4 linked regions of the Lonchura striata genome follow. The protein of the gene in region 4 binds, or shares a complex with, the protein of the main gene of each other region. Links are inferred from orthologs where the notes say so. Each region holds a gene or a part of one and is shown on either strand. Other genes may lie near its edges.

Region 1 (7,020 bases), on a different chromosome or scaffold from region 4:
AAACAGCACCAGGAGACACAGAGCCACGGGGAGAACCCTGATTACTGCCCAACAGGCCACCAGGAGTGACACAGCCAGTGGCATCCCTGTCCCTCCGCTGGCTCTGGACACCTCAGGAACACCAAGGGCACAGGGAGCACAGACTGGAGAACTTCGCCCAAAAAAACGTGACCTGGAGCAGTGCCCATCATCTCCTGCAATTTCTGCACCTCAAGGAGGATCAGGAGGCAGGGAGGTGACAGTGTGTGTACAACGTGACCAGGTGTGTGTGTGAGGTGACCAGGTGTGTGTGTGAGGTGACCAGGTGTGTGTGTTGGAGGTGGACAAGGCAGAGCCCTTTCTCAACACAAAACCCTCTGAGAGCCCAGCAAACACAAGCTGGCACCCATCCATCCCCTCCAGGCACAGCATCCCCTCGCTGAAGGGACTCCAGAGATGCTGGAGCAGCTCAGGACAGCGTGTTTGAGGTGGAAAACATAAACCAGTTGGTGTCATGGCACTCAGGGTGAAATCATGGCCAAGTGTGCTCTCCTGGTGGTTTGGAGGGCCAGGGCTCCCTGCTCTGGAAGAGAACAAAACTTCCAAACACGCAGAAGGGACCTCTCCCACACAGGAGTGGGCACAACCCTCCCACTGTGAGGAGGGAAACCTGAACACAGCCACTCACTGTGTTCATCAACATCCAGACCAGCCTTGGGAATTTCAGCAGGGATATGGAAATTGGGATTGTCAGCACAGCCCTCAGGACCTCACCAGGGCTCAGAGTGTGCCAGCAACGCCCGTGCCAGGCTAATTTCTTAAGACAGCACATAAGGAAGGTGAGATTTAGTCTTACAACCTTCAGCATCTCCTTCTTCATGCTCCCATCTCCTGACTAATCCTCTCTCCCCACAGAAAATATTCCTCATGGTTTTTCCCCTGATCATTCCTTTCTCGTTAATCCCTGCACTTCTCCAGCCTACCCCATTCTGGGCTTTGAGCAGTGGCACAGTCATCTCTCCCTCAGAGCCACAGAGAAAACAAAATAATCACAGCCCGGCAGTTTATTCTTTCATGAACTGGTCAGAGATTTCCTGGAAGCTGCAGCAACACCAGCAGCCATGCCTGGCTGGCTGCAAGAACAGCATGAAGGTGATTTTTGGGGCTGTTTGGTCCCATCTCGCAGCTTCTCCCCAAGGTGGGGGAAAACCGTCCCAGAGCACATTTGTAGGGACTGCCCACCCGCATGGCCAGCCTCTCCCTCCAGCAAAGCTGCAGCACTCATCCTCCCAGCCTGAATTGAAGTCCACCTCTAAAACCTTCCAAGCACCTCAGGAAACGACAGGCTGGGTGCTGTTATCTCCCGTATTTACGTTACACGTTTCTAAGGCTGCCCCGAGTGACGTCTCTGCCTTTCACAGATCCCATCCATCACCATCCCCTAACCCAAAGCCACCGATTTCCTCCCGCAGACCGCGCAGGCACACGGGGCCAGGAGCCCTTCTGGTAGTCCCAGATGAATCCAGACTGGATCCTGAGCCGTGTGCTGCCTGCGGGAGCATCTCCCATCCCCGACAAGAGCAACGCGACACCGGGCTTTTTTTCCACTGTGCCTAATAATCGTAACATCTCACTCGCCATTTGGCTCGTCAGTGGGGGTTCCTGACTGAATAGGCTTATTCTTTTCTTAGACATGATAATCTAATTGGGTCTAACCAGAAATAATCCCCAACACACAGCGGTTGGGAATCCTCGCCCAGCGCCCGGGAGCGGCTCCGGGATGCGGGACGGGAATGACCCGGCAGCTCCGGGCTCCCGAAGCATCACGGCGGGGCCGGGCATGGCACGCACATGGAGCCGCTCGCCCTCCTCCCCCAGCTCCCGTTCCACACGCAAACGTGGCTCCAAGGAAAAAAAAAAAACACGGCAGAGAGGAGATGGAGCCGCGCTGCCGGGGTACCCCAAAGGCAGCGGGAGCTTTGCCCAGGGAAAGAAAGCTCAGCCCTTCGCTGGGAGGTGATCTCAGAGCCACCCGTCCGTGCTGCTGAAGTGAAAACCCCGGCACGGTCCGGGGGAGAAGCACCGGGGAGTCCCCCAACGGGGGGGACAGGAGCGGGGTGTCCCGGGGGGAAAGGAGGGCGGCATCCCCAGGAGGAGAAAGCCGGGGGTGTCCCGGGGGGCACAGAGCGGGGTGTTCCCGGGGGGCACAGGAGAACGGTGTCCCCGGCAGAGCAGAGCCGGTGTCCCCGGCAGAGCAGAGCCGGTGCCCCGGCAGAGCAGAGCCGGTATCCCCGGGCTCCTGGTGGAACAGAGCGGGGTGCTCCCGGGCTCCCGGCAGAGCAGGACCGTGTCCCTGGGCTCCCGGCGGAGCAGAGCCAGAGTCCCCGGCGGAGCACAGCCGGTGCCCCGGCGGAGCAGAACCGGTGCCCCGGCGGAGCAGAACCGGTGCCCCGGCGGAGCAGAGCCAGAGTCCCCGGCGGAGCAGAACCGGTGCCCCGGCGGAGCAGAACCGGTGCCCCGGAGCGTCCCCGGCGGAGCAGAACCGGTGCCCCGGCGGAGCAGAACCGGTGCCCCGGCGGAGCAGAACCGGTGTCCCGGAGCGTCCCCGGCGGAGCCGCTCCCGCTGCGCTCCCGCTGCGCTCCCGCTGCGCTGGCCGCGGGCTGCGCCCCGCCGCCCGGCCCCGGGAGCCGGCCGGGCCGGGGCACGGCGGCCCTCGGGGGGGCTGCGGAGACAAAGAGCCGCGGCCCCGTCCCGCGGGCGGCACCGCCCGGCCGAGCCCACCTGCGCCCGGCCGCGGCTCCCGAGCCAACTTTCCGCCGCTCCCCCCGCCCGCGGCCCCTCCGCGCTGCCCGCAGACAATGGGGCCGGCGCTCACCAGCACCACGGCGAAGCGCTCCTCCAGCTCGCCGGGCTCGGGCATGGGCAGCTTCAGGGGCACGCCGTGCGCCCTCAGCTCCGTCTGCTGCGCGTCCACGCTGCCCGCGTTGCCCATGGCGGCCGCTCCGCGCTGCTCCGCGCCCCGCGCCGGGCGGGCTCCGCGCCCCGCGCTCGCCCTCTACCACCGCGGGCGCTCCGCCGCGCCGCCGCCCGTCATGGCTCGCCGCCCTCGCCCTCCTCCCCCCGGGGCGGGCTCGCTCCGGCTCCGGCTCCAGCCCCGGCTGCGGCTCCCCCGCATGCCGCCCGCACAAAGCCCCGCTCCGCCCCCGGCCCGCGGCGCCATGGGACTCGTAGTCCCGCCGCCGGCCGCGGGGAGGGAGGCGGGAGAGGGCGGTGGGAATGCCTGGAAAAGGTGGAAAGGAGTGGGGAAATGGGGGAAAGGGGTGGGGGACACCCCGCCGCATCCATTTTGCCTCGGCGGCCGCGCTGCTGCCGGCCGGCAGTGAGTGGACGCGGGGAGTGGATTCCAGCGAGGGCAGGGGGAGAGCGGAGATTCCGGAAAATCCTTCCCTGGCAGGGTGGCAGGCCTTGGCACAAGTGCCCAGAGCAGCTCTGGCTGCCCCTGGATCCCGGGAAGTGCCCAAGGCCAGGCTGGACAGGGCTGGGAGCAGCCTGGGGCAGTGGGAGGTGTCCCTACCATGGCAGGGGTGGCACTGGGTGGGCTCTAAGGTCCCTTTAAACCCAAACCAGCGTGGGACCCTGGTGCTGTGATTAACTCTAGACCTTTGCTGTGGACAGCCGTGGTCCTGCTGCTCACCAAAACGGCTGTAGGTGCTCAAGGACAGTGGCCCCACCCGGTCGCCCCAGCCCCCATCCCGAGTGACTGAAATCGGGACAATTGGGGTGACTGACCCCCGTGAATTCGCCACCCCGACACATCCGTACCCGAGCTGAGGCTGCCTGGGTGTACACAGGAGGATCATCCACCCCAGCATCTCAAGCCTGGCCACTCCTCGGGCGTTATCCCCCATTTCTGCAGTGTTCCCCGGGTTTCAGCATCCCAGGGATGCAGGGCTGCACGGGAAACAGGAGCCTGGAACCCTGACCCTGGGAGATGCCATCAGCTCATTTGGTGACTGTGCTGTCCTCACTTACATCTGGCTTAATCCCAAATCCAAGACCTCATTCCCTCCTGTCAGCCCCACCAATCCATACCCCACTGTCCCCTATGAGCATCCCATTATCCTTCCAGGGAAGAACGATTTTCACTCGGCTCTCACCTTCACACCACTCATGCTGCTGCCTCTCCTCCTGGCCATGGAAACTATCCACATGGAGATTAATTTGGGGAGAAGAGCAAAAGGATAAGCATCATAGTCTGGGAAATGACCATTCCTTCATTTCCATTCTCTGGGATCAGGGCTGTGCCAGAGGCACGGCTTGGGAAGTGCCGCAGAAGCGACGTGCTGGGAATCCTGTGTGGCAGCACACGCAGTCCTGCAGGGGAAATCCATGGAAGTGACAGGCAGCTTTTCTCCCTGAGAGCTCTAAACCCACTACTAATTAAACAAGCTCGTTCCAATTAAAAAAAAAATAAGTGTCATACATCCATAACTGGGATGGGGAGGAACTCTTTGTCCTGGCTCACTCCCCACCTTGCCCACAGAGCATCAGGACGTGGCCTGGGCCCCCGAGCGATGCCAAAGGTTTGGATTTCCCACTCTGCAGGCCCCAGGAACAGCTCAGAATTTCATAAACTGCTTTGTTAAAAGCCCGAAAACCTTGCAATATCCTTGGTAAACAAAGGTTTGAACCCCGGAGAGCTGTCAGGAGTTAACAACGACGTTACTGTCGCGGTAATAGATACTTTGCCCCATGTCTTTTATCTATCACAATTCTTTGAAAGATTAATTAGTTCATTAAGCTTCACAAGAGTGCTGTGAGATAAGGCAGCCTTAGAGCACCACTGATAACAGGAGGGCAGGGAACAGTGATGAAGACAGTCCCCAGCAGAGGATCCTTCCCTCTCCCAGCAGCAGGGCTTTTCATGACCTGTGATGACAAACTCGCTGCAGTGTCAGGAATCCCAGGATTTTCCCAGTCAATAATTCCCACCATGGAAGCACTCAACACTTTTCTGATGATCCTTGTGGATCCCTTCCAGCTCAGCAAATTCTGGGATTCCCTGAGTCACCTCAGCATTTTTAAGTCCCTCTGGACACCAGGAGACCTTCAGGGATGGGGAGATGCTGCTGGCCACAAATACCTGGGACAGGTTGGGAAAATTGCAGGATAAACTGGATTCCTGGGCTCCAGCAAGAAGTCAAAGGCAGCTCTAAATCCTGCTATGAGGCATATTCAGGTCAAAACTAGCCTTGCAAAATTTTTAATGAATTTAGGCATCCTCACACACAGCGAGCATTTGACATCAATGCAGCAGAGCAAAGAAAAGAATTCTTGTAAAGGATGAGATGATTTTTAAGCAATTTGTTGTTGTCTCTAACTGGGATGTCGACATTTGCAAATGCCAAAATTAGTGTGGGTAAGTAAAAAAAGGGACTTAGCTGGCTCGTGCAATGTAAAGAAATTATTCTGGGATTAAAACTAATAAACAAGAGCTTTGTTTTCACATTTTATTTATTCAAATAAAAGAAGCAGCTCACAGTGTGCAGTTCCCAGAGCTCATCCCAGGCACCTGGGTGATTCACACCGGGTGATGCCAGCAGGGAATTCTTGGTCTGCCCCGGGGTTAATGGCCATACCAGCTTTGCAAGGGCTCCCTGCCATGAGCGTGTGTGGAATTTCACTGGAGAATGAGATTTCTCAGCCTTTCCTCAAGGTCTGTTTGTCACCAAACTCTCCTCATAACGAGCTGGAAGTTATGGCCGAGTCATTCCTAAATTCCCCTGACCCAGCTGCTCTGTTTGTCACCAAAATCTCCACGTAAAGAGCTGCAAGTTTGGGGCTGAGTCATTCCTAAAATCCCCTGAACCAGTCTCTACTTACTTATCTAGAGAAAAACCTTTGAAGGGGAAAGATTGATTTGTGAACCCTCATTTTCCCTGATGCTCAGCACTTCCAGAGGGATCCTGAGCTGCCTTTTCTGTGAAGTTCCAGGTGATCTGATAAAAGCTGGAGAGGCTTTAATAAATAGCCAGACCCTGCTCAGCAGTGGCCAAGGATGCTTCACTCATAATAAAGATGTAGAGCACCCATAAAATCCATCCCTGAGCTGAGCAGTGCTCGCTTCACATGAGGTTATTGATTGCAGTTCGTGCATGCTGAGCTTGCTTAGGAGAGGGGCTTTTCTGTAACAAATGGAAAAAATATTTTAAAATCCTGTTCTGCTTTCTGAGGGCAGCCTTCCCAAGGGAAATGAGCTGCTGCAGAAGCTGCAGGGTGGAAGTGCTCAGTCCCAGCACAGCGAGTGCTCAGGTTCACATCTACCCAGCCCTTTCAATTTTCTCGGGGTGCTGGAAATTAAATGATGAACTTTGGAGCTGATTTCCTCGTGCCCTGCTCTGGCCCTGCTGATGTCCTTGGGCATCACTTCCAACACTGGCGTGGATCAGATGCAGCTCCAGCAGAGCCAAGTGTGGTGCTGTCACCGGCGTCCCACCTAACCCTGCCCTGATCCCTTGTCCCCCATCCCTCTCCAGCTCTCCTGGAGCCCCTTTGGGCTCTGCAAGGGCTCTGAGCTCTCCCTGGAGCCTTCTCCAGGCTGAACATCCCTCCAGGTGTAAACTGAGTTTAAAACAAGCTGCAAAGCTGGGCAGGAGAATGCCCAAGGAGCGCTGGGACGTGAAGATGAGTTGCAGGACATCTCCCCACGTTGCTGCCATCGCTGCTGAGCAAACCCAGCAGCAGCCGGGGTTATTTCCTGGTGGGACTCAGCCTTGCCAGGAGCTCCTTCAGCATTTCTTGGCAGGAAGGCAGGCAGACAAAACACAGCCTCAGAATTCCCAGCAAGGCCAGGAATCGCCAGTGCTGAGGCAAGTGAGATAATGGAGCAGAAAACAGGGCTGGGGAAGGAGTCAATATTTAATAACACTGCAATGTGAGAGCAGAGCAGCACCGAGATGCAGCCAGAGGCTGGGGGAGATGCTGGATGGAACAGGGGCCAAAAGATGCCTCTGTTTTCCCTGTGGAATGGAGGGGCTGGA
Region 2 (7,246 bases), on a different chromosome or scaffold from region 4:
TCTCTTTGTCCCCTCATCCCAAGGTGTTCAGCTTGTTCCAGGAGAGCAGCCCTGCCTCTTCTTGGCCTAAATAAACCACATGCTTTCATCAGTCCCCATGAGACATTCATTCCCCCACTGACACTAATCAGCTCCATTCCCTCACACACAGCAGACCAGAATCCTGGTCTAGCTGAAGAGTTGCTCCTGCCTTGGCATCATTATTTCACACCACAGCTGCCGGGCTACACAGCCACATCCCACTGTCATTGTGTGTTATTGTCACACCACTAAGAATTCCTGTTACTTCTCCAGCTGCAGGACCCTTCCCTCCAGCTCACGCTGCTCCACACCTCATTTCTGCACATGTTACAAATAAACCCCCTCCAGTCCATCCCCTGGGATGCTTAACTTTCCCTCACAGCTGATGGCACATCCCAGGAAAATTCAAATTTAGACTTTGTCACAAAGACATTTCCCACTTGGCAGCACAAAGGCTCCTCCCCTTACACAAAATCCAGCAGGATCAAGAGATTGTTCTACCCATCACTCACTCCAAGATTATTTATTCTCAAGTCTTCACGCAGAGCTTGTGACACAATGGCTTCTGTCACTGTTCACCAAAAGTGCTACATTTGGCATGGACATCCCACAGCAGCACCTGGTAGGAACTCCTGGCACAGGTGACACTTCCAAGCCAGGTGTGAAGCCAGGTTCCAGGCCACATGAGGCAAAGGAAAGGAATAAACAGGACACAGGCACCCCCTGCGAGCAGCTGAGCCTGAACTAATTGCAAGAGGAAACATTTCTGTGGAAGAAATGCTGTTTCTTAGGTCACAGGGAAAAGAAACCAAGAGATGGAACTTCTTTAGTTTTATTTTTCTAAGTAGGACACAGTACTGCCATGTGATCTAGACCAGCTTGACAAAGCCAAACGCTTCAAGGAGCAGTTGGGACAAGGTTATGTGACCCCAGGTCACCTTGCACTGCTGTCAGCAGAGTGCAGATGAACCTTGGGCTGACCCAGGTGTTTCCTGATTTTGTTTTAACATCCCTTGGATGTCACCTCAGGCAGAACATTGCTGTACTACAGCCCTCCATACTTGGCATCTTTTCAAGATTCACTCATTGCACTCAGCAAGAAACTTTCTACTGATTGAGTGTGGCTTTAGACACTGCCAAAATTTTAGAGCTTCTTAGGAAAAAACAATCTCTGACCAACTGGTAGGGACAATAAAATCAGGAGAAGGAAACCAAACCTGTGTACCACTGGAGCTTTTTACTGCTAGGTGAGTGAATAAAATGTTTTCATAGTATTTTGTACTTTATTCCTTTCAGGATCTTGTAATTAGCAGTGAATTCTTTGGCATTTCAAGCTGATTTAGTTTTATTCTTCTGAGACAGTGTCCCAGAGCTTCGTTTTTCTTTCACATTCCTCTCTGCAATCCCTCTGCCTGTGAAAGATCACCTGAATTCTTAAAATGTTAATTGTTTTCAAACTTGTAGGAAGCAGGTTTAGGCAGAAGAGCTCTGCGTTGTTGTAGCCTTTGTGCAGCAGGGATGGGGCGAAGGTAATAAACTGCTGAGGGATGCAGAGCTTAAATAGGGGAGGAAAAAGAAATTTGGGAAAGGCTACCAGTTATTATCAGAAATGCCAAGTAAGGAAAGGCTTTTACAAATAATGAAGGTGAGAAGGTGACTGTAGAAGAGGAGCTGTGGATAACCTGGAAGCGATCAAGGCCAGGTTGGATGGGGCTCTCAACCTGCCCTAGAGGAAGGTCCCTGTCCACGGCTCGGGGTCGCACCTGGATAATGTACGAGGTCCCTTCCCATCCAAACTATTCCAAAATCCTATGGAATCATTCCAGAATAAAAACACCCACGGGAGGATTTAGGGGTTATTGGTTTCCCGGCTTTGACCACCAGAGAGAGCTCGTGCAGCAGGAGTCCCAACCTGAGCCAAAACCAAAACCAAAACCTGATGGAAAACGCCAATTCCCGCAGTTTTGGGATCGGCGGAAATCGGGAGACGGGGACCGGGAAGGGAGAGGGAAAAAAGAACAGACTCTGGGCCCTCAAAAAATGAGGCTTTTTTGCAGCGGCCTGGCAGGAATCAGGAAAAAATGGTGAATTTTGCTCTAAAAAAGTATTGGTTGATTTGTTTGTTTGAGGTCTGTGAACACTGAACAGAAAGGACACGTGTTCCTGCGGATATGATTTAACTCTCCTGCCGTCCTGGGCTCTCAGCAAGGATCTGCAGCTTTTCAAACCCGTGAAAAACCCATGGAAGTGTGTGTGCTATTCCTGCAGCTGGCCAGCAAACCCCACACATCACCACGGAAACTGGGACTGACCTCCAAAAAGATTAGGCTCACTCCTAGCTCCAGCCCATCTGGAGAGAGAACAGCATCAGCAGAAGAAGGATGTTCATTTGTGAGGCTGAAAGCAAGCACCTGGTGTTTTCTTATGGATTTGATGAACCACAGACTCCCCACCTGTAAGGAAGAATATTTTCTCACTGGGATATTGTGGAGGTTAGTACAACCCTGGAACCTGACACAATGCCAGAGTCCTATGCAGGAGACAGCTACAGGGCCCTACAAAAAACCAGAATATTGGATGCAGGGAGGAGCACAGCACCCTCAGAGTCAGGGATAGCAGTGCTCTAACATTGTTTATGCAAGTGCTGCAACAGGGAGACCACACAGTTGAAAAAGCAGATTCCTTTCTGGAAAAAAGCTCACAGAACTGAGCAGAGCTGGAGCAGAATTCTACACACGTTGACAGATATTACTCTGGCATTTAAGAGATCTTGGAGAATAGTCTAAAAGTGGTACATATTGCTTTGTTTTCACAAATAGAACTCTTAGTTTGTCCATGCCCACACACACATGGCTCCTCTGTGGCACCAGTGGAACCTAAGCTCTTCCCTGTTGCAGACCTCTGTGGGAATGCAGTCAGTGAACTGCCCTGAATAAAGCAAAACTTTTTATTTTGCAGGGCTATTTTTAACCCGGAACAGCTCCTTGGCCCAATTCATGCAGTCCCATGAAAAGCAGCTGTGCTGGCACAGCTGTGGGGTGGGAATATGTGGCTGGCAGGGAGGATGAGGACAGAAGCTGCTGGCACAGCCCTGAAGGAAAACACAGCGAGCTGCAGCCTTTAATGTACAGATGAAAATATACACAATATACTGAGCTGGAAGGGACCCACAAGGATCATCGAGGCCAACCCCTGGCCCTGCAAAGAGACTCCTGTGCATCCCTGAGAGCATTGTTGAAACATTTCTGGAGCTCTGGCAGCCTTGGGGCTGGGGCCATTCCCTGGGGAGCTGGGGCAGTGCCCAGCACCCTCTGGGGAAGAATCTTTTCCTAATATCCAACTTAACCCTCCCCTGACACAGCTCCTGCTCTTCCCTTGAGTCCTGTCCCTGGTCACAGAGCAGAGGTTGGTGCTGCCTCTCAGAAGGATGTTTAAGACGACAATGAGGTCTGACCTCAGTCTCCTCTTCTCCAAGCTGAACAAAGCAAGTGACCCCAGTCCATTCTCATAAGATTTTCTCTCCAGATGCTTCCCCATCTTTGTAGGCAAGGAACGGTGTGGCTGCAGGGCCAGGGAAGGGATTGTCCCCCTGTGCTGGGCACTGGTAAGGCCACATTTGAGTGCTGTGTCCCCTCAATGCAGGAGGGACATCGAGGGGCTGGAGCATGACCAGAGAAGGGAACAGAGCTGGGGGAGGATCCGGAGCACCAGGAGAGGCTGAGGGAGCCAGGAGAGCTGAGCCTGGAGAAAAGAGGGGGGAACCTTCTGGCTGTCTGCAGCTGCTGGAAAGGAGGTGGGAGCCAGGTGAGGGGGTCAGGCTCTGCTCCCAGGGAACAAGGGACAGGACGAGCGGAAACGGCCTCAAGCTGGGTCAGGGGAGGTTAAGGCTGGACATCAGGAGGAATTTCTTCCCAGAAAAGGTCATCAGACATTGGAACGGGCTGCCCAGAGCTGTGGCGGAGTCACCGCGCTTGGAGATGTTCAAGAAACGACCGGACGCGGCACTCCGATCTGGTTACCAGGGCGGAGTCCAGTCCCGGGCTGGACCCGGTGATTCCAGCGGTGCTTCCCAGCTGATGGATGCCGGGATTGCCGGGATTGCCGGGATTCACCCGCTACTCCCGCTTTTCCCGCCCGCCCCTCACAGCCCGCCCTCACACCGAGCCCCCGCCCGCGCGGGGAGATGACGTCACGCCTCCGCGTGCGGTCACGTCCGGTAGGTGAGGTCAGGGCCGGGGCCGCCATTTTGAGCGGCTCCGCGGGCGGCGGCGGCGGCGGCCGCGGGCGGGGGAGGAGGAGCGCGGCCCCCATGGCCGGGCAGTTCGACTCCGAGGACCGGGCGAGCTGGTACTGGGGGCGGCTGAGCCGCGCCGAGGCCGTATCGCTGCTGCAGGGGCAGCGCCACGGCACCTTCCTGGTGCGCGACTCGGGCACCATCCCCGGCGACTTCGTGCTGTCGGTGTCCGAGAGCTCCCGCGTCTCGCACTACATCGTCAACAGCCTGGGGCCGGCGGGAGCCCGGCGGGCCGGCGGCGAGGGCCCCGGGGCCCCGGGTGAGTGACCCCAGGGCTGGCGGTGCCCGCAGCCCCGGGCAGGGCAGCCGGGGCGGCTCCGCTGGGCGCCCGGGCGGTGTTGGCAGGCGTGGAGCGCTTTGTGGTGGAATTAAGCCGTGTTCCGGAGCTGAGGCGGCTGCCCGAGCGGAGCCCGCTGCCCGCACCTGCCGTTCTGTGCCACATGAAATTCAGCGTCCTGGACTTGGGCATCCCGCGGCTCCTCTTTGTTTTCCTAACCCCCTTAGCGATAATTCATAGATTTTCCGTGTCATCTCAGCCGGAAGGTGGTTGTGTGAAGTGTCATCCTCAAAATGTGACTTCTGACAAGGCAGTTTTGCGTTATCAGGGAGGCTGAGTTCGAGTTTGAGTGGTGGGAACTCTTCGGGATGTTTCTTGAAATCAGATGTGAAGTTCAGTTTCTTTCCTCTTGAAAGGAGAAGTTTGGTATTATTTCTCATCGAGTGAACATGTGAAAAGGAAAGCAACACGTTTAAGTGTAACACTGAAAGTGCAGAAAGTGCTAAGGGAGCTCTGTGAGAAGCAGAATTTTTGCTGTTTAGTCCAAGTAAACCCTAACAGTGCAGAACCACTGGATGTGTCAGAACGTGCAGTCCAAAGGCACTGGTGTCACTCCTGTGGGAATCAGGGAAGTTGGTGCTGGAACTGCTCGAGTTTGGATATTAATCCTTGCAAAATGATGTGGATGTGTGATTGGCATCTCCACAAGGAGCCACTAGATAGTTTTTAACTATAGTAAACCTGTGTAATAAGAGATTTGGTGAACTTATTTGGCAGAAAGTCAACAGACACGGTGATAAAAGTCTATGGGTGGAATAGGAGACCAGTGGTGCAAAGATGTAACAAGACTTGTTTTATTTTTCAGTCTCTGCACAGAGTGATTGACTAAGGAGATAATCTGAGAGAAAACAAAATTAGTGCCAGTAGGTTTGCACTGTCATACAGGGGAAGCATTTCAGATTGGAAAAATGGGGAAAGCCTAAACTCACCCTGTTTATCCCAGGAACCTCCTGGACCTGCACAGTGCACTGAGGTTACAGAGCTCCACAGGTAGAAGTTAAATGTGGCTGAATTCAGCTGGAAGTGGAATTTATTGCTGCTGTGGGGGATCAGAATGTGGTGGGTTCCTGTTGTTCCATGTGGGTGCAGACAGAGGTTTGGTGCTGTAATTGCTGACAAGGATGGCTGGTGTTAAGTAGAGCAGAGTCAGTCGCCAGCATGTTTTGTTCTGAATCCAACCTAATTAGATTTTTCAAGACAGTAAAAAACACTGGGTCATGAGTGTCTGTCACTTCTGGGCAGTTGTTTTTTTGGTGAGCAACTCATCTCTGGGAAAACAGTACAGCCATCCTGACTTTTTTCCTCTGTTACATTCTAAGCTCAGTAACATTTTGTGGCATTCTGTGGGCTGGCTTTGGTTAAAATCATGAAGTACCTTGTAATTCTCTTCTGTTTTAAAAGAGTAGCTGTGTAAGCTGGTGGCACAGCAGGCTTAATATATCTGAAAAAGTATAATTATGTTTTGGTTGGCCTCCTTTTTATTTATCCCCTGGATGTTCTGGGAGGGGTGATGCATCACTCCTGCACTACAGACACTCCCACGTTGATTTTAGTCATTTTAATTAAATTATGCCTCCACACTGATACTGCTGTCTTCATACTACAACCAAAGAAGGTGCTGGGGAGGTATATATTGAATTATACTTCAAGTGTAATTAAGGTGCTGTTTCAGAAAAAAATAAGTGGGCGGTTGTTCTGCAGTGGAAGGGAGGTGAAAACATTAGTAGAAGATTGAAGATGATTCTGTGTTTGGGTAGGGAAGCTAATGCAGTAAAAAGAGTTAAATGTTTGTAAATTGTCCAGCTTGTTTATTGTGGCTAAACTAAAACGTTGGGAAAAACAAAATCACTGTATTGTAGTATGGTACAATTTTTTAAACAATTTGTTGTTTGGCAGATGTGCAGGTCTCTGGGAAATTTGAATATTCCAGGTTGGGTTCTGGGGTTGATTTTTGTTGGGCTCAGTGTCTGTGAAATTTCTGGCTGCTCTCAGGGATAGGGGAACCTCAGCATAGAATGAATGAGATGAGGAGCTCTGGCTTCCCTAAAAATCACAATGTCACAAGAACATAGTACTTTCTTTGATTTCTGAAGTATAGAGTAAACTTGCAAACTCTTTGTTAAATTGACCTTTTGACTGATGCTGCAGTTTCTAGTTTCTTGCAGGTAATTTTTCAGCATAACAAAGAAATAAGAGTTGAACAGAACTTTTAGTGTGTTCTTGGAATGTTTTTTTAGTCTGTTAAAAAAAATAGGATAGATCACTGAATTATGGGAAAGAAAACCATTTTTTTTTTCAGTGGAAATGGATAATTTGTGATGAAGTATCATAGTTATGGTTAAAGAAGTCCCAAACAAGACAAGGTGCTCCATGCAGGCATTAGCATGGTGATGGACAGCAGGGGAAATATTAAATATATCATGTGTTTGCAATGCAATATGGGGGTTTGGGGTAAAAATGTGTGATATGCACTAAAAAATGCCTGAAATACCTAAAGATAGAAATCCTCTCTGTTGAGAGAGGAGCGTTATAAACACAGAAGCCTTAATGTCATTAAATTTGTCTGTCTGAAGTAGGCAGATATGACAGATAAA
Region 3 (6,885 bases), on a different chromosome or scaffold from region 4:
AGCTATTGACAAGAAGCAGAATTGGAGGCGCCTTTCAGCAAGTGGTCCAGGAAGCCACAAACCTTTCACCCTAATAGACCAAGGGAAGGCTCTAGCAGGGTGCTCTGAGGTCTGATTCTCCCATGAACCATGCTCATCCTGAACTAGCACCAACCCAGAAAGGGACTGTCTTGTTTGATTTCATTCATCAATTTCCTGACTTTAAATATGGAAATGATCAGCTCTAAGATTTTTTTTTTCTAGATTTATTTTTGTGTTACTATATCAGGAATGTTTGTAAAGTACAACTTCTTTTAAGTTCAGGATATGTCTCCCCAGTGAAATGATACTCGGTTTATAAAGTACTAGGCAGAAAGTTACGATAGTAAAATGCTAACATTCTTCAGAGCAATACACAAACTCTGCTAGGAACTTGAAGTCAAAGTCAAAAGTCCAAGTCAAGTTAAATGTTTAAAACAGTTCTATGTCACTAAAGCAAGGGGTCTTAGAAATTTGATAGCCTAACTTGGACAATTTATTAACTCCTTAGGAAATCCAGCATAGATGTGGTGTTCTCAACACAGGGAACTGTTTGTCAGTAATCCAAAGTGAAGTTTTAGTTATGTAGGGGGCTTTCATGAAAGCTAAGAAAACACTAGTGTTAGTTTTCTAGTTAAGGAGTATTTTCTCTTGTTTTGTTTTGTTTTTTGGTTTTTTTGTTGTTTGTTTGGTTGGGTTTTTTTTTTTTTTTTTTTTTTTGTTTAAGGTGCTGGGTGTCTTCGCTGCTCAAAACGGCAGCCAAATGCAATGCAGATAAAATGTATGTATTTCTCTAGACACAGACTAAAAAACCCAAACATGTGCCTCTACTGTCACTACAGACAAGTAGGCTTGTTCTTTAATGGAAGTCTTCATGAAGTTTCCTGGTGTATATTTTTTTAAATATTGCCATCAGCCTGGCATATTTCAAGAGCCTTTGCCTAGTCTCTTGAAAGGAATGTAATTTCAATGGTTCCTGCACCAAAAATTGCACTCCAAAAAGAAGTGGATGCAGTGTGGCACAACAGCCACAGCTTCTCACTCAGGGAAGGACAGAATAGCTACCTGATCTTGAGCAAGCAGACATGATTGATCAGAAGAGTGGCACCATTATAAAAACAAGTGTACTCTCATCCACTCTTGTACTTGGGGCAGAGAGACCTGACACCAAGCATGGCTACACCTCAGAACATGAACATCCCCATGGTTACTAGAACAAAATACTCTCAACTACCACAGCAAAGCATAAGCACTGAGAGGATAGAACGTATCTTCAAAACTATATTTAGTGTCATTCTTTCCCATAATAATTGAGGCCTACAATCTTTAATATACTCTGACCAGCTCTGTCAATAAGGTAATTCATCCTCAGTGCCAGGAAGGAACAAGACTCAAAGGACGAACCCTTTGCTTTGGGTTAAAGACTAATTTTTGCCTTTATCAGAAGTCATGTCACACTTCTACCTGTCCAGACCCACATGTTCTGAGATCAGCCACTGCAGATCCAAAAGGAAAGCCTCTACTGCTGGAGTCCTGACAGGCATACAACAAACATTTCTGCATCTCAGGCAAGTGGACAGTGTCCAAACCGAGGCTGGAACACGATGCTGCACACCTGGACACTGCCTAACTACAACGTGCAATGGCACAAGCTGCTGGGAGGACTGGTTTCACAAGCAAAATATTCACCTTTGCTAACATAACAGCATAGGCACTCAGACAATGCCTGTAGTAACCAGTGAACACACACCTTTGCAAGGATGCAACCCACCTACTGGGTAAAATGAAAAATGAAACTTACAGGCACATTCCACAAAATGCCCCAAGAGAGGGTATCAACAGGGTGAATCAGTCATCAATGAGGAAAAATGCTTAGAAGAGCATGGCATTCTGCAAGCTGAAGGTCTTACTGCCAAGCTTTTTCTACCTGTCTTAGGTGGAATCAAGGTGGCTCTTAACACTGTTAAGGAGTTTTGTTTCTTTCTAAAAGGAGATTTCAAAACTGGTTTTTAATGAAGCCACTACGATAAGAACTGGGTATCTACTCATTAGACAACAGGATGCCAGGGCTGTTGAGAACTTCGCAAATAATTTGCGTGTTACCATTTTGCAATGCCTGACGTATCAGAGGCATTTCTTGTAGGAATGGCACAGCCACGGGCTTGCACTGCTCTGCCCTGCAAGAGCCTGGAAAAGCACAGGCGGGTGCAAGATCCCAGCACGGCACAGCACGGGCGGGAGAGACCAACAGCAAGAGGAAGGTGTTCAAGGGTTTTTCTTAAACATACGTTTGGGAAGTAAATACACCCCTCTGAAAAGAAATGCCCGGTTCCTGCACGGTCTCTCCCCTCATCCCAAGCACTTAAGAGTTGCAAAGGTCTAAGATAAAGTTATAAAACTAGAAAGCAAAGGTTTAATTTTATAATCCGAAATTCCGAAGTAATAATCCAAAGGTTACCAAGTTACAACCTGAAGCTACAGTCATAACTCAAGTTACGAAGTTAAAACCCAAACCCATACCTGTAACACCAAGTTACAGCACTAAAACCCGAAGCTCGACCTCTAATCTAAAACTCCCGAGCTGCAATGCGGAATTCCGGCTATAATCCATTCACAAAGTTACAGAACAAAACGCAGCCCCGTGAAAACCTGTTCAAAACCCAGCCGGAGCCGACTGCGAGCTAACCTAAAAGGAGGCGGAGCGCCGCGCGCTGCCGCAAGAGTCTGCTGGGCGGGTTTTACTTTGCCTTCAGCTTGCATTTTTAGTAGTAAACCGAGAAAGCAGCAAGGGAGTGGGAAATTAAAAAAAAATTAAAAAAAAAAAAATAATAAAAAAAAAAAACACCAAAGCAGAAAAAAAAAACAAAACTACGGAAAGGTCCCGAAACGCCCCCCAGGACCCCACTCACAGCCGTAGCGGGGCCGCTGCAGGGACGCCAGCTCCTCATGGTGCATCCTGCCGCCGCCGGGAGGGACGGCGCCGGTCCCCGCCCGCCCTTCTTATGCGGGCCGGGCCCCGCTGATTTGCTGCGGCCGCGGCCGCGCCGCCCCGCGCGGGGCCGGGGCCACCGGGGCGGCTCCGGCGCGGCTGGGGCCGCGCGGGTGCGCGGGAGAGCCGGGCGGGGGAGCGCGCGGAAAACAAGGGAAAGGGGAAAGGGAGAGTGAGAGAGGAGGGGGAAAAACAAACTAACAGAAAAGCACACGCCAAGATTAAAAAAAAAAAAAAAAATAGGCAGAAAAGCGCCAGGTAGAAAGTAGAAAAAGGAGGGAAAATAAAGCAAAACGTAACAAAACAAAACACGCCCCCCTCCCCCCCCCGAAATAGACCACAAACAAATCCCCAAAAACAACAAAACCCCAAGCCTCAAAGCAAAGAAAAAAAATCAACCAAAAACTCCCCAAAACCACAAAAACAACACAACAAACTAAAACTCAAGAAAGCAACCAAAAGGCAAGGCCCAAAGCAAAACAAAAACAACAAAAAACCATAACAGAACAAAAATACCCAACCAGAAAACCAAAAAACACCACCCCAAACCACCAAACTATTTAAATAAACCAAGTTCCACAGTAAAAGGCCAAGGACTCTCCCCTATGGTGTTTTGGCAGGGCGGACTCTGAAGAGAGGTGAAGAACCAAGTCTAAGACTCCCTCCTGTAATTTTGCCGTTTTGAAAAATTCTCACACCCCACAAGCAGTGTTTCTGCCAGACCACAAAGCCATCACCATGACCTGCACCTTTGCAATTGGGTGTACTGAAACAGATTTTTGGAGTTCACTTAAGTTAACAAAATGAATTAAGCATTTATATTCTAGCTTGTAGAGTTACATGTTGAATTTTAACCTTTTACTTAAGAAACCTCTGCCTCAGGAGCACGGACACAAGCCACGGTTTTTAGGGTTGCTTTAAATGCCACTAGCGAATAGCGCAGCTAGTAGGGGCATCATACAAGTTAAGATTTGCAAGTGATGCTTACAAGCATCGCTGGTTAGTAAAGGACAAGATCCAGCTAAAAGTAACCAGCAAGCCCAACTGGGCTAAGAGTTAAGTGTTTGTTGAGAGATAACACTGCCCTTCAGTGTTAAAAGCTGTCACTGAAAGATCCTTGCAGTACAGGGTTTGTTGCCTGGTTCTTGCGGCAAGTGAGAGGTAATTTGCCCACACAGAGAGAGAAGGAGCGTCCTTAGGAGGGATATACCAAAGTTCAACAAGTTGCTGTGTAGCCTTTGACTGAGAACAACCACCAGTTGAACAGGTGCTGAGAAACCCCTTGAGGTGGGGTCCAGGAGTGGTAATCTCCTGTTTCGTGTGCAGATTGACAACCTTTTGCTGGAAGCCAGACTGGCACACAGCTTGGGTTCTCCTCCAACACTTGAAGTGTCAGAGGAAGTAGTATTGTATTTCATATAAGCAGAGATCCACATGTTGTGCGTGTACCCCTGAATTATAACCCAGGAGTTGAACAAGCAAAGTGTAAAATAGTTAATTTAATCTGTATAAAAAATCACCTGGTCCCTGAAACCTAGGACATGTTTGAAGAAGATTAAGAAAGGATAAAGGAGTGACCCAGCCTTAGTATTAAAAAGAAAAATGAAAGAAATATTTTTCCTTCTCTTTCCTCCCCAGTGGTTTGGATTGAACCCTTAAGAGTTCGTAAACTTATGTGGCACTGGGCAAACAATAAATTAACAATGATTGATGGTTAATTAATTAATACAATAATAGTCTAATATAAAAACTATTATTGATTATTAATTTGGCTATTAATATTTTATCTAGTTATTTGATTAACTATAAATTTATAATTATTAAATTTCATAACAACAAAAAAAATCTTTCTTTTTCCCTTTCATTTGGCTCATAAGAGATGAATATTCTGTAGTTATAAGAGCAACTGGCCAAACTGAAAAGGCATTTTTCTTTAAGCCACTAAAATAAAGCAATGGGAGCTCCACAAATTTCCACATATGCCCAGTTCCCCTGAGCCACTTTTGGGCTGAGATTTGCTGAGACAATTACAGACAACTATTGCATTTAACAATGGGGAGATGACTCTGGAGGTAAATGATCAAAAGTATGTAGAAGTATTGAGTTTAATACTAACCACTAGCGAAGTCATGAGAAAAACTGAAATTGATGAAGAAATAATGAATCAGGTATTCCCTGGGGTATGGGCCTCTGATGTACCAGGGAGAGCGAAAAACACTCCCCCTATATAGATCAGACTAAAAGAGGGAAAGCAACTTGGCAGGGTTAAACAGTATCCCTTGAGGTGGGAGGATAAGGAAGGGATTAGCCCAGTAACTGAGAACTTTTTTCGTTTAGGATTATTAAAAGAATGTCAATCTGATTTTAACACCCCTACCCTACCAGTTCTCAAACCTGATGGGTCATACCGGTTAGTACAAGATCTGTGAGCTGTGAACAAGGTAACTGGAGATCTGTATCCTGTGGTGGCCAATCCCTACATGTTATTAACTTGCTTAACACCAAAACTAACTTGGTTTACCATTTTAGATTTAAAAGACTCTTTCTTTTGCCTTCCTATCCACAAAGCCAGCCAGAAAATTTTTGCATTTGAATGGGAAAGTCCTAAAGGCAGACAAAAAGCTCAGTTTACAGAGACCAGACTCTCTCTCACAAGGATTCAAAAACTCACCTACTTTGTTTGGAGAACAACTTACAAAAGAATTAGAGACCTGGGGAGGCCCTCCAGAGGAAGAGAAGCTGCTACAGTACGTAGATGATATCCTGATAGCCACACAGACAAGAGAAACATGCGTGGCCTGGACAGTAAGCCATTTGAACTTTTTGGGGCTCCAGAGATACCAGGTATCAAAGAAAAAGGCCCAAGTAATAAAACAAAAAGTAGCTTTTCTGAGTTACGAAGTCAGTGCTAGACAACGTACCCTGGGCCAAAGCCAGAAGGAAGCAATATGCCAAACCCCAAAACCTCAGACTGTAAAGGAACTATGAACTTTCCTGGGGATGACGGGGTGGTGCAGGTTATGGATCTATAACTACGGACTGTTTGTGAAGCCCTTATGTGAACTGATAGCAACCGAAAGCAGGGACATCCAATGGACAACGAAAGCAACGCAAGCTTTCAACCAACTGAAAAAAAAGCCCTCTTGTCAGCTCCATCTCTGGGATTGCCAAACATGAGTAAGCCTTTCCTTTTGTTCTCCCATGAGAAACAAAGAACCGCCTTGAGAAAATTTGCACAAGACCTCAGCCTGTACCGGAGAGCAGTGGCATTACTTCTCTAAGCAATTGGATGCAGCAGCTAAAGGGTGGCCTGGATGCCTCAAACCTGTTGCAGCAGTTGTACTGAACATCCAGGAGGCACGTAAATTCACCCTGGGCCAAAAAATGACTGTGCTAGTGTCCCACACAGTGTCTGCAGTGCTAGAGGTGAAAGGCAGGCATTGGCTTTCCCCACAACGAGTCCTGAGATTCCAAACTATCATGGTGGAGCAAGATGATGTAGAGATTGTAGTGACTAACACTGTCAGTCCAGCCTCCTTCCTCAGTGAAAACCAAGGAGAGCCAGTGGAACATGACTGCCTAGAGATCATTGAGGCCACCTATTCCAGTTGCTCTAGTTTGAAGGACACCCCTCTCAAGAGTGCAGAAGTCTGGTTCACTGATAGAAGCAGTTATGTCATCAGTAGAAAACAACACGCCAGGTATGCAATTACTACCTGCAAGGAGGTAATGGAATCTAGGCCAACAAATACCTCTGCACAAAGGCCTAGATAGTTGCTCTAACTCGGGCCTTAGAATTGGCAAGAGGGAAAGAAATAAACATATATACAGACTCAAAGTATGCATTTGGAGTCATGCATGCTCACAGAGCCATTTAG
Region 4 (6,841 bases):
TGGCCAAACAACCTCAGAGAGGGAGAACTTTTGTGCCAAGCTTCAGCCCTTGCAAAAACTCTGGGGAAAGGGATTTTTTTTACCTACCACTCCTAATGGCAGTCCTTCCTGAGGGATATACACTTAGCTTGTATCGTGTCAAACCGTAATAAAGTGTAGGGTCTGGGAGAAGCCAGATAATTAAATGGTGACAGGCTGCAGAAATGTAAAGGTACTTTAAATTTCTCTTAAAACTTTGCATAAAAGCTTATCTGGTCAATAAATTGTTTTATTTGTCATATATTAACTATTGAATATAGGGTGCTTTCACCTACATTTAATGTAAGGGAGTGAAAGGAACCAAGGAAGAAGACTAAGTGGTTAGAGAGCTTCTTGCTACCTGAAGCACCAGAAACCAATTCCACTTCCATTTGATTTGACAGAACTTTCATCTTCTAAAATGAGAAATATGTCATTCTTTCCTCAGCAAAGAATCTTTTCCTAAAGAGCAATGATAACTAAACCCTCTACAATTCCTCCTAACTGTCTCTTGCTCCAGAAACTCGTATCATAAATTCATGATGGAGCCAAATGACAGCAGGAGAGCTCAGCTCTCCTGACCACAAAGGGCAGGCAGAGGAATGAGCAGGATCAAAAACACAAGCCCACAGACAACTTTTAAAAGCTGTGAGCACTCACATGGGCATCAAGCAGATTATACACATCTCACCTGCAACATCTTACACAAACCTCAGCTGTAGTGCAGCATGTTCATTTATTGTCCGAGTCTTCCGGAGCTAACAGCAGAGCTGGAACCCAGGTACACCAACCAACCCCCATGGTAACAAGAGAGCTGCTGAAAAGGTTTTAATTGTAAGGTCCAGCTATCTATGCTCATAAAACTTGGAAAATTACTTTAGTACTACATCTACATTTTAATGAAAAAGAAGCTTTACATCAAGATTAGTGGCTAGCTTCATGCTGCACTTTCCATCAGCCTCACACAGGGTTTACAGCAAGGAAAGCCCACAGAACACTTATAAGAGAAATCCCTGGGAGCTTCACAGGGGCTCCATTTATGTTTACCGTTGCCTTTTAGCAGAATGACAGTTTCAGTTTTAGGTACTTCACACTCTAGAGCTTCCAGAGCTTTTCTATTTAAACAGTAAAAACATCATGAACTTCCCAGTCATCAGTTTTAGGCAAACAACCCTAAAGCAGAGCACTTAATGATTCAGAACATCAGTTGCAGGTCATGAATAACCAAGTTCAAAGTATGCAAATTTAGTGATTAAAATTTCTGCCTCGGATATGTTACCAAAGTGAAAACATGTTTTATCTTGCACCACAGTAATTTTTTATTCCTTGCCAAGACTTAGTTTTTTTGTTGTTGTTGTTACTGAAGCATAAATGAGAACAGTTTAAACACCAAACCATTTTTACAGTCGGCAATATACTTATTCAAACCATACATGCCTAAGACCTGACTCAAATATAGTTGCCTATATTATCTTCCTCAGAACCTTACACTAACAAGAGTACAAAGCAGAAGTTTACAACAGAAGGGAAATTTAGAACAGCTTCTTCACATACAACTTCCTCACATTCAGCCAGCTGAATATAATTTGCTTACAGAAAAACAGAAGCTGTAATGCTTTACTGAGTTATCCCAATCAGCAATACAATGAGCTTGATGCAGTTTTTAAATGCCCCTTCCGGAAAAAAAAATAAAGCTTTTGGGCGCTGCAACTCAATATTTTGAACAGCCCACACCTCCTTTCCTGGGAGAGAAGCACAAAGACAATCATAGATGGCCAGACCAAGCAGCCAGTTCTGATCATCCAGTTACCATGTCTGATCACTCAGTTGCCATCTAACACGGCCTCTTTGCCAGGGCTTGTCTTCCTCATGCTGCTGTCAAGACAGGATCTCTGGCTGCCCTGGCCACAGCATCCACACAGAAAGGACAACAGGAATCCCGACCATTCTTTGTTAAGCATAGGTTTCCAATGCTAGGTCTTCACAGCTACCTGGCTCTGCAACTGTCTCCTACTGCTGTCACCAGCTGCAAGTTCTATCTACTTACAGATACGGAACTGAAATCTAGATCACTAAACCAGACCTTTAAAACAGAGACAGGAGTTATGATTCTGCAGTATGTACATTTTTATGAGATTTCCAAGGAGAATGAAAAACATATGTCAACACCAACCTTTGAAGCAGTGCTAGCTCCTGGCCCAGCTACAGCCAGAGGCATCACGATGTAACGAAAGCTGTGGGACAGCTTTGGATAACCCACAGCACTGCAGCTCGTGAGGCAGATACCCAGAAGAGTCTGCGACTTCTCGACTGAGCGCTGTCTGTGCAGGGCACATAGCTAGAGCTCAACTCCTCGCCATGCCCACACCCCGCTGCGGTTCAGGGCTGCTGTGCCCGCAGCCCCTCGAGGCTTCTCCCACAGCCCCGAGCGCAGCCGGACTGCACCGAGTGCGGAGGGCCGCGGCTGAGGCCGGGACGGGCAGGGCGGGGCTGGGACGGGCAGGGGCAAGGGAGTGCGGGCGGGCCCCGCCATGGCTGCGAGAACGCTTCCTGCGCCGTTCCGAGGGTCCAGTCCGACGGCCGCCCGGAAGCGGGGGAAGGGTGGGCAGGAGAAGCGGCGGCCATGCCGACCACCTCAACAGACCAGGCCCACAAAGGCAAGCGTCCGCCAGCAGCCACCGGGACCCGCCGGGAGGAGGCCGCCCTTCCCCCCGGCAGGCGGCTGCCGGGGAGGCCCCGCACGCACAGCGGGCGCCCCGGCCGAGGTGAAGGCCAGGGCTCTATTGGTGGGTGCGCGCGGAGAGCAGAACCGGCCGGAGGTCCCGGAGCTCGGCCGGAGGTCCCGGAGCTCGGCCGGGGGTCCCAGTCCCGTCTCCGCCCCCCTCCCCCGCCCCCCCACTCTCACCTCGGACGCTCCGCCGGGCGTTGGCAGCTCAGTGCGGGGTCTCCTCGGCGCAGGCACAGGGGCAGTCGATTGACGTCACCGCGCAGCGCGCTGGTGAGGGGCGTGCCAGCTAGGACGCCCCCTGCCGGCCATGCGCCGCGGCTCGCAGCGCGCTGCGCGCAGCGTCAGGGGGCGCGCGCGGGCACGGCCTGCCGGATGTGAGGTTCGCCGGCACAGCGCCCAGGCTCCCTCTAGGTTTGGTTTGGTGTGGTTTGCTTTTTGTTTTTTTTTGTTTTCTTGTTTTTTTCGTGGTTTTTTTTGGTTTTTTGTCTTTTCTCCCTGGACCTGAAGCCGACATAAGAAGGGCCAAAGATCCACAGTTCATCCTGTTGGGGCACTCCTCATGGCTGGGAGATGACACCCCAGAGCAGAGGGTACTTATGGCAAGTTAAATCCCCCTAACCACCCCCATCATTCAGGAACAAGAGGCCGGAAAGAAAATCTCCAGGCACAACTACTTTGAGAAGCAAAGCAAAAATCTGGCCTGAAACAGTAAACTACAGAGCAATTCAAATATTAAAAGTTGGAAAAAGCTGCAAGTACCTATGCCAGCAGCTTCAAGTCACCAAACACTGTCTCTGGAGAGCACATGGAATAGGTCAAACCCTCAAACCATCTTTGCATTGGACTTCTTAAATGAGCCCTGGTCCATCTGCATGGCCAAAGACAGGACACAATCCACTCTGCCCAATGTAATGGTGTCAGAAGCATATCTGTGCCTTCTGCAAATATTCCACATCCCTGGGGATTCTGGAAAGAGCCACTGCCTTCCAAATATGCTCACTGCTGCCCGGAGCACTCACAAAAGAGCAAAGGAAGAGGAACATTTTCAAAAGAATTTTCAAGATGAAATCATGAGTGGATATCAGTGTCTCACTGTCTCTTCCAGATGATTTTCGATGAAATCCCTGCCCTGTCAAGCACAAATGTTCCAGCTGGGTAGAGGCTGAGCCGAGTGGATGAGAACAAGAACCTGGAGAGACCCTGGAGTCTCCCACAAGGCACCATCTCATCATTCCTCCAGAAACTCATTCTTGATGCAAGCATCACATGAGGCTCCACCTCAACCAGCTTCATCCTTGTCTGTGTTCCAGATTATGTTTTGCTTTGGCTCTAGAGCACCTTCCAGTATTTCTGATGATGCCTCACAGTTCTTTGACTTTAATTACACTTCAACAGTGCATAAGCAATATTGAGGGAATGGTTCCCCCTTTCCATCAACTGCTCCCTGCACCAGCCTCATTCCCCACTTCCCACAGTGCAAAGGAATGAGGATGCCAAGGATGAGGATGACTATGAGCTCATTACCTCCATGTCCCGTCTCTTGAGGCCTCCTTTGTCTTTTCACAAGAGAAAGACTTGACAGTGCCTAGAAGAACTGCAGAATACTAGTGACTTGTGGGCTATGGAGGGCCAGGGGTGTCTGCTAGACACACATGACATCCCACCATAAGCTACAGAGGTCCACAACCACCACTCCTCAAGCCTCTTGTGCATGCCATGGTACAGATATTAATGATGGAAACAGATAAAACCAGGGCAAGAATCCTCACTTCCCAGAGGAGCATAAATCAACACACGTGAACCACACAAAGTCCATGCAGTAATTAACTTTATCCCTTCCAAGTTAAGATATAATACCATGCAGTAAAATCAGACTCAAGGCAGTGAAACAAGCAGAGAAAAACCCTGTCAAATTCAGCACCTGTAACTTGTTACGGAATTAATTATAGCCTGGTCTAATACTACTACTACTAATAACAAATTCCTGTTAATATGTCCTTGTGCTCCAAGTGAGGAAAGATATGGAAAAAAAAGCCTCATATTGAATCCAAGGAACAGGTTTCTGCCAAACAGAGGCTCAGCCATGCGGGGATGTAGGTGAGCTACTGCACCGGACAGAGCTAGGAGAAGAAAATCTGGGACAAAAAATCCTGGGCTAGGGAGCTGCTCCAAACCTTCCAATCCTCTGTAACACCAGTAGGAAACAGCTCTTCCCATGAGGAACTGTCACCGCCAGCAGCCTTGAGCATCTCCCAAGGCAAACTCCCAGTGCATGGGGATGAGGACAGAGGAATGCTAGAGACTTGAGGTAAGGCTGTGTCCTGCAAAAGGGGAATAAATTCCAGCAATGGCAAAACACAGTGACAGTGCTGGTCCCCAAGGATCTTGTTTTTGTAGATGCGCTCACAATCAGGCTCCACCAAGAAGCATGAAATCCATCCATAGCTGGCCCAGATCCCAAGGTCAGAATTCAGCTCCTACAAGTGGTCCCCAACTCTCCCATGTTGCCCATGGAGGTGGCAAGGTGATTGTGTACATGCAATGCCTGGAGTAGCATACAAGATCATCTTGTCATGTTAGAAAAGTGAGCAAGTCATGGGAGAATCCAACCAGATCTAATGTTACATACCAGGATCCAACCTGGACATCCTCTCTGTCAATAAATTCCAACTTTGGCTCCTCACAGAAAAGCAGGCAAGTTCCTGAAGAAGCCCTGTGTGGCTTGGCAGAGGGAGGATATCTCCTCAGCAGCTCTGATCTTTACTTCTCCCTAGTTTTTCTAGATGGAAAAATTACGCTGGGGGTATCCTACTAGCTCCACATGCCACTAAGTCTTCCTGGCAAAGCTAAAGGTATTTTTGCCACGCAGGAAGAACACAGGGCCTGTCTTGGTGGTACCTGTGAGATCATGGTTTATTTTACTCTCCCCACTGCTCTGGCATAAAGTCATCCAGTATCCTGCCTCTACCTAGCAGCTCATGCACTCAAATCCAAGGGGGAATGCATGAGGATGTGAAACACATCATCTGAAGAACACCTGAAGCCTGCATGGCACTTTTGGGGATGCTCTTTCCAGAGAAAAGCTTCATGTTCCCAGCTCAGGGATTCAGACCAGCTAGGACAGAGACCAGAAGACTCATCACAGCAGACCCTTTGCATAAGCTTTTGACCACTCTTTCCAGACCACAGAGCTCTCTAAACATGTACATTTTAATAAGGGGGAAAATCCAGCCCTGAGATCATTACCTGATACATTCACAGCGAGGTACACCAGAGCCAGGCAGACAGGAGATATTATTTTACAACATTAGCACATCTGCCCCAAGCATTTCTGCTTTTTGCTCCAAGCACTCTTGGAAGTCACACCTCCTGGTATCATCTGCCTCTTACTACAGCTTGCCATAGGTCAATGAAGTAAATTATTCAATTACTAGAAAGTCCAGTATGACTGAATGCAGAATTAAACTTCTTAAAGCACAAAAGCAATCAGCATTTTTGTTTCTTGGTCTATTTCCACCCTGCCTTTGGCAGCGTACAGGTACTCTGTCCCCTCACTCAGGGACTCTGCTCAGGGGGTCCTGTGTGGTCACTTGGTCACACCCTGGAAGTTGAGCTCCATGCACAGGGGCAATGCTGCCGGCTGGCTCAGCAGCTTCTCCAGGACAGTTATTTCAGCATCTCGTCTCTCTATGTTCTCAAACGGAGTCCAGGACATGTCATGCTGGAGCTTATAGGCACCAAGAAATTCATGGGGAGTAGTACCCCATTCCTGGTGGAGAAAAGAGAGATTCCATCAGTGTTCAGGTTTCCTTGGAGCTTGGCTGTGCTGTCTCTCAGCCCTACTACCTTCAAAGCAGTCCCAGCTACATGACCATACCATTTCCTAACCTAAATACAGGGTCAGATACCCAAGTCCAAGATCAGGTCGAGCTCTAGCACTGCTGACAGAGGAAGGCATGTGGACACAAGATCTCCCTGACCTGCCCTGAAACTTCCACCTTGCATGTAAGAAAACAGGTAGTCTGGAAGGAGGAGATTTCCAAGATCATCTCTTCAGCTGCCTGGGCTGAAGTACCTGAAGAGACCCTCCTGCCA

The links.
Region 1: the proteins of CDC42 (region 4) and FMNL2 are in contact, whole or in part, in a crystal structure (PDB 4YC7), measured with the Homo sapiens proteins. The link is inferred for Lonchura striata from reciprocal best matches to the Homo sapiens genes CDC42 and FMNL2. Residues at the interface, in NP_001034891.1 of Homo sapiens: Val36, Phe37, Asn39, Gln61, Glu62, Asp63, Tyr64, Asp65, Arg66, Leu67, Arg68, Pro69, Leu70, Pro73, Ser88, Glu91, Asn92, Lys94, Glu95, Lys96, Pro99, Glu100, Thr102, His103, His104, Pro106, Lys131, Asn132, Lys133; in NP_443137.2 of Homo sapiens: Ala41, Met42, Asn43, Leu44, Pro45, Lys48, Leu52, Tyr55, Lys59, Glu62, Leu63, Asp66, Gln67, Arg69, Phe70, Lys73, Tyr79, Arg108, Glu109, Ile112, Ser113, Leu114, Arg115, Thr116, Asn117, Ile119, Val122, Asp219, His222, Met226.
Region 2: CDC42 (region 4) and CRK share a complex: the UniProt entries of both Homo sapiens proteins name them as parts of the collagen stimulated complex. The link is inferred for Lonchura striata from reciprocal best matches to the Homo sapiens genes CDC42 and CRK.
Region 3: the proteins of CDC42 (region 4) and IQGAP2 are in contact, whole or in part, in a crystal structure (PDB 5CJP), measured with the Homo sapiens proteins. The link is inferred for Lonchura striata from reciprocal best matches to the Homo sapiens genes CDC42 and IQGAP2. Residues at the interface, in NP_001034891.1 of Homo sapiens: Gly12, Ala13, Ile21, Thr25, Asn26, Lys27, Phe28, Pro29, Ser30, Glu31, Tyr32, Val33, Pro34, Val36, Phe37, Asp38, Tyr40, Phe56, Tyr64, Leu70, Gln74, Gln116, Leu119, Asp122, Pro123, Ser124, Thr125, Glu127, Lys128, Lys131; in NP_006624.3 of Homo sapiens: Gln893, Thr894, Asn924, Tyr925, Ser927, Asn928, Gln929, Arg930, Glu931, Glu932, Arg976, Gly977, Asn979, Gln983, Asp1067, Leu1068, Leu1069, Pro1070, Tyr1071, Lys1191, Phe1192, Asn1193, Lys1196, Tyr1197, Leu1200, Val1201, Thr1202, Val1203, Ser1204, Lys1205.

The regions. Positions count from the first base shown.
Region 1 is NC_134610.1:1,541,037-1,548,056, forward strand, and holds the start of FMNL2 (formin-like protein 2), read right to left. Parts: upstream 3,006-7,020; 5' UTR 2,973-3,005; coding exon 2,856-2,972; intron 1-2,855. UniProt on the Homo sapiens protein: Plays a role in the regulation of cell morphology and cytoskeletal organization. Required in the cortical actin filament dynamics.
Region 2 is NC_134622.1:6,727,387-6,734,632, forward strand, and holds the start of CRK (adapter molecule crk), read left to right. Parts: upstream 1-4,246; 5' UTR 4,247-4,330; coding exon 4,331-4,574; intron 4,575-7,246. UniProt on the Homo sapiens protein: Involved in cell branching and adhesion mediated by BCAR1-CRK-RAPGEF1 signaling and activation of RAP1.
Region 3 is NC_134642.1:13,539,326-13,546,210, forward strand, and holds the start of IQGAP2 (ras GTPase-activating-like protein IQGAP2), read right to left. Parts: upstream 3,010-6,885; 5' UTR 2,974-3,009; coding exon 2,928-2,973; intron 1-2,927. UniProt on the Homo sapiens protein: Binds to activated CDC42 and RAC1 but does not seem to stimulate their GTPase activity. Associates with calmodulin.
Region 4 is NC_134626.1:8,463,698-8,470,538, forward strand, and holds the start of CDC42 (cell division control protein 42 homolog), read right to left. Parts: upstream 3,017-6,841; 5' UTR 2,924-3,016; intron 1-2,923. Other genes in the region: C24H1orf50 (uncharacterized protein C1orf50 homolog), read right to left, coding at 6,333-6,515. UniProt on the Homo sapiens protein: Plasma membrane-associated small GTPase which cycles between an active GTP-bound and an inactive GDP-bound state. In active state binds to a variety of effector proteins to regulate cellular responses. Involved in epithelial cell polarization processes.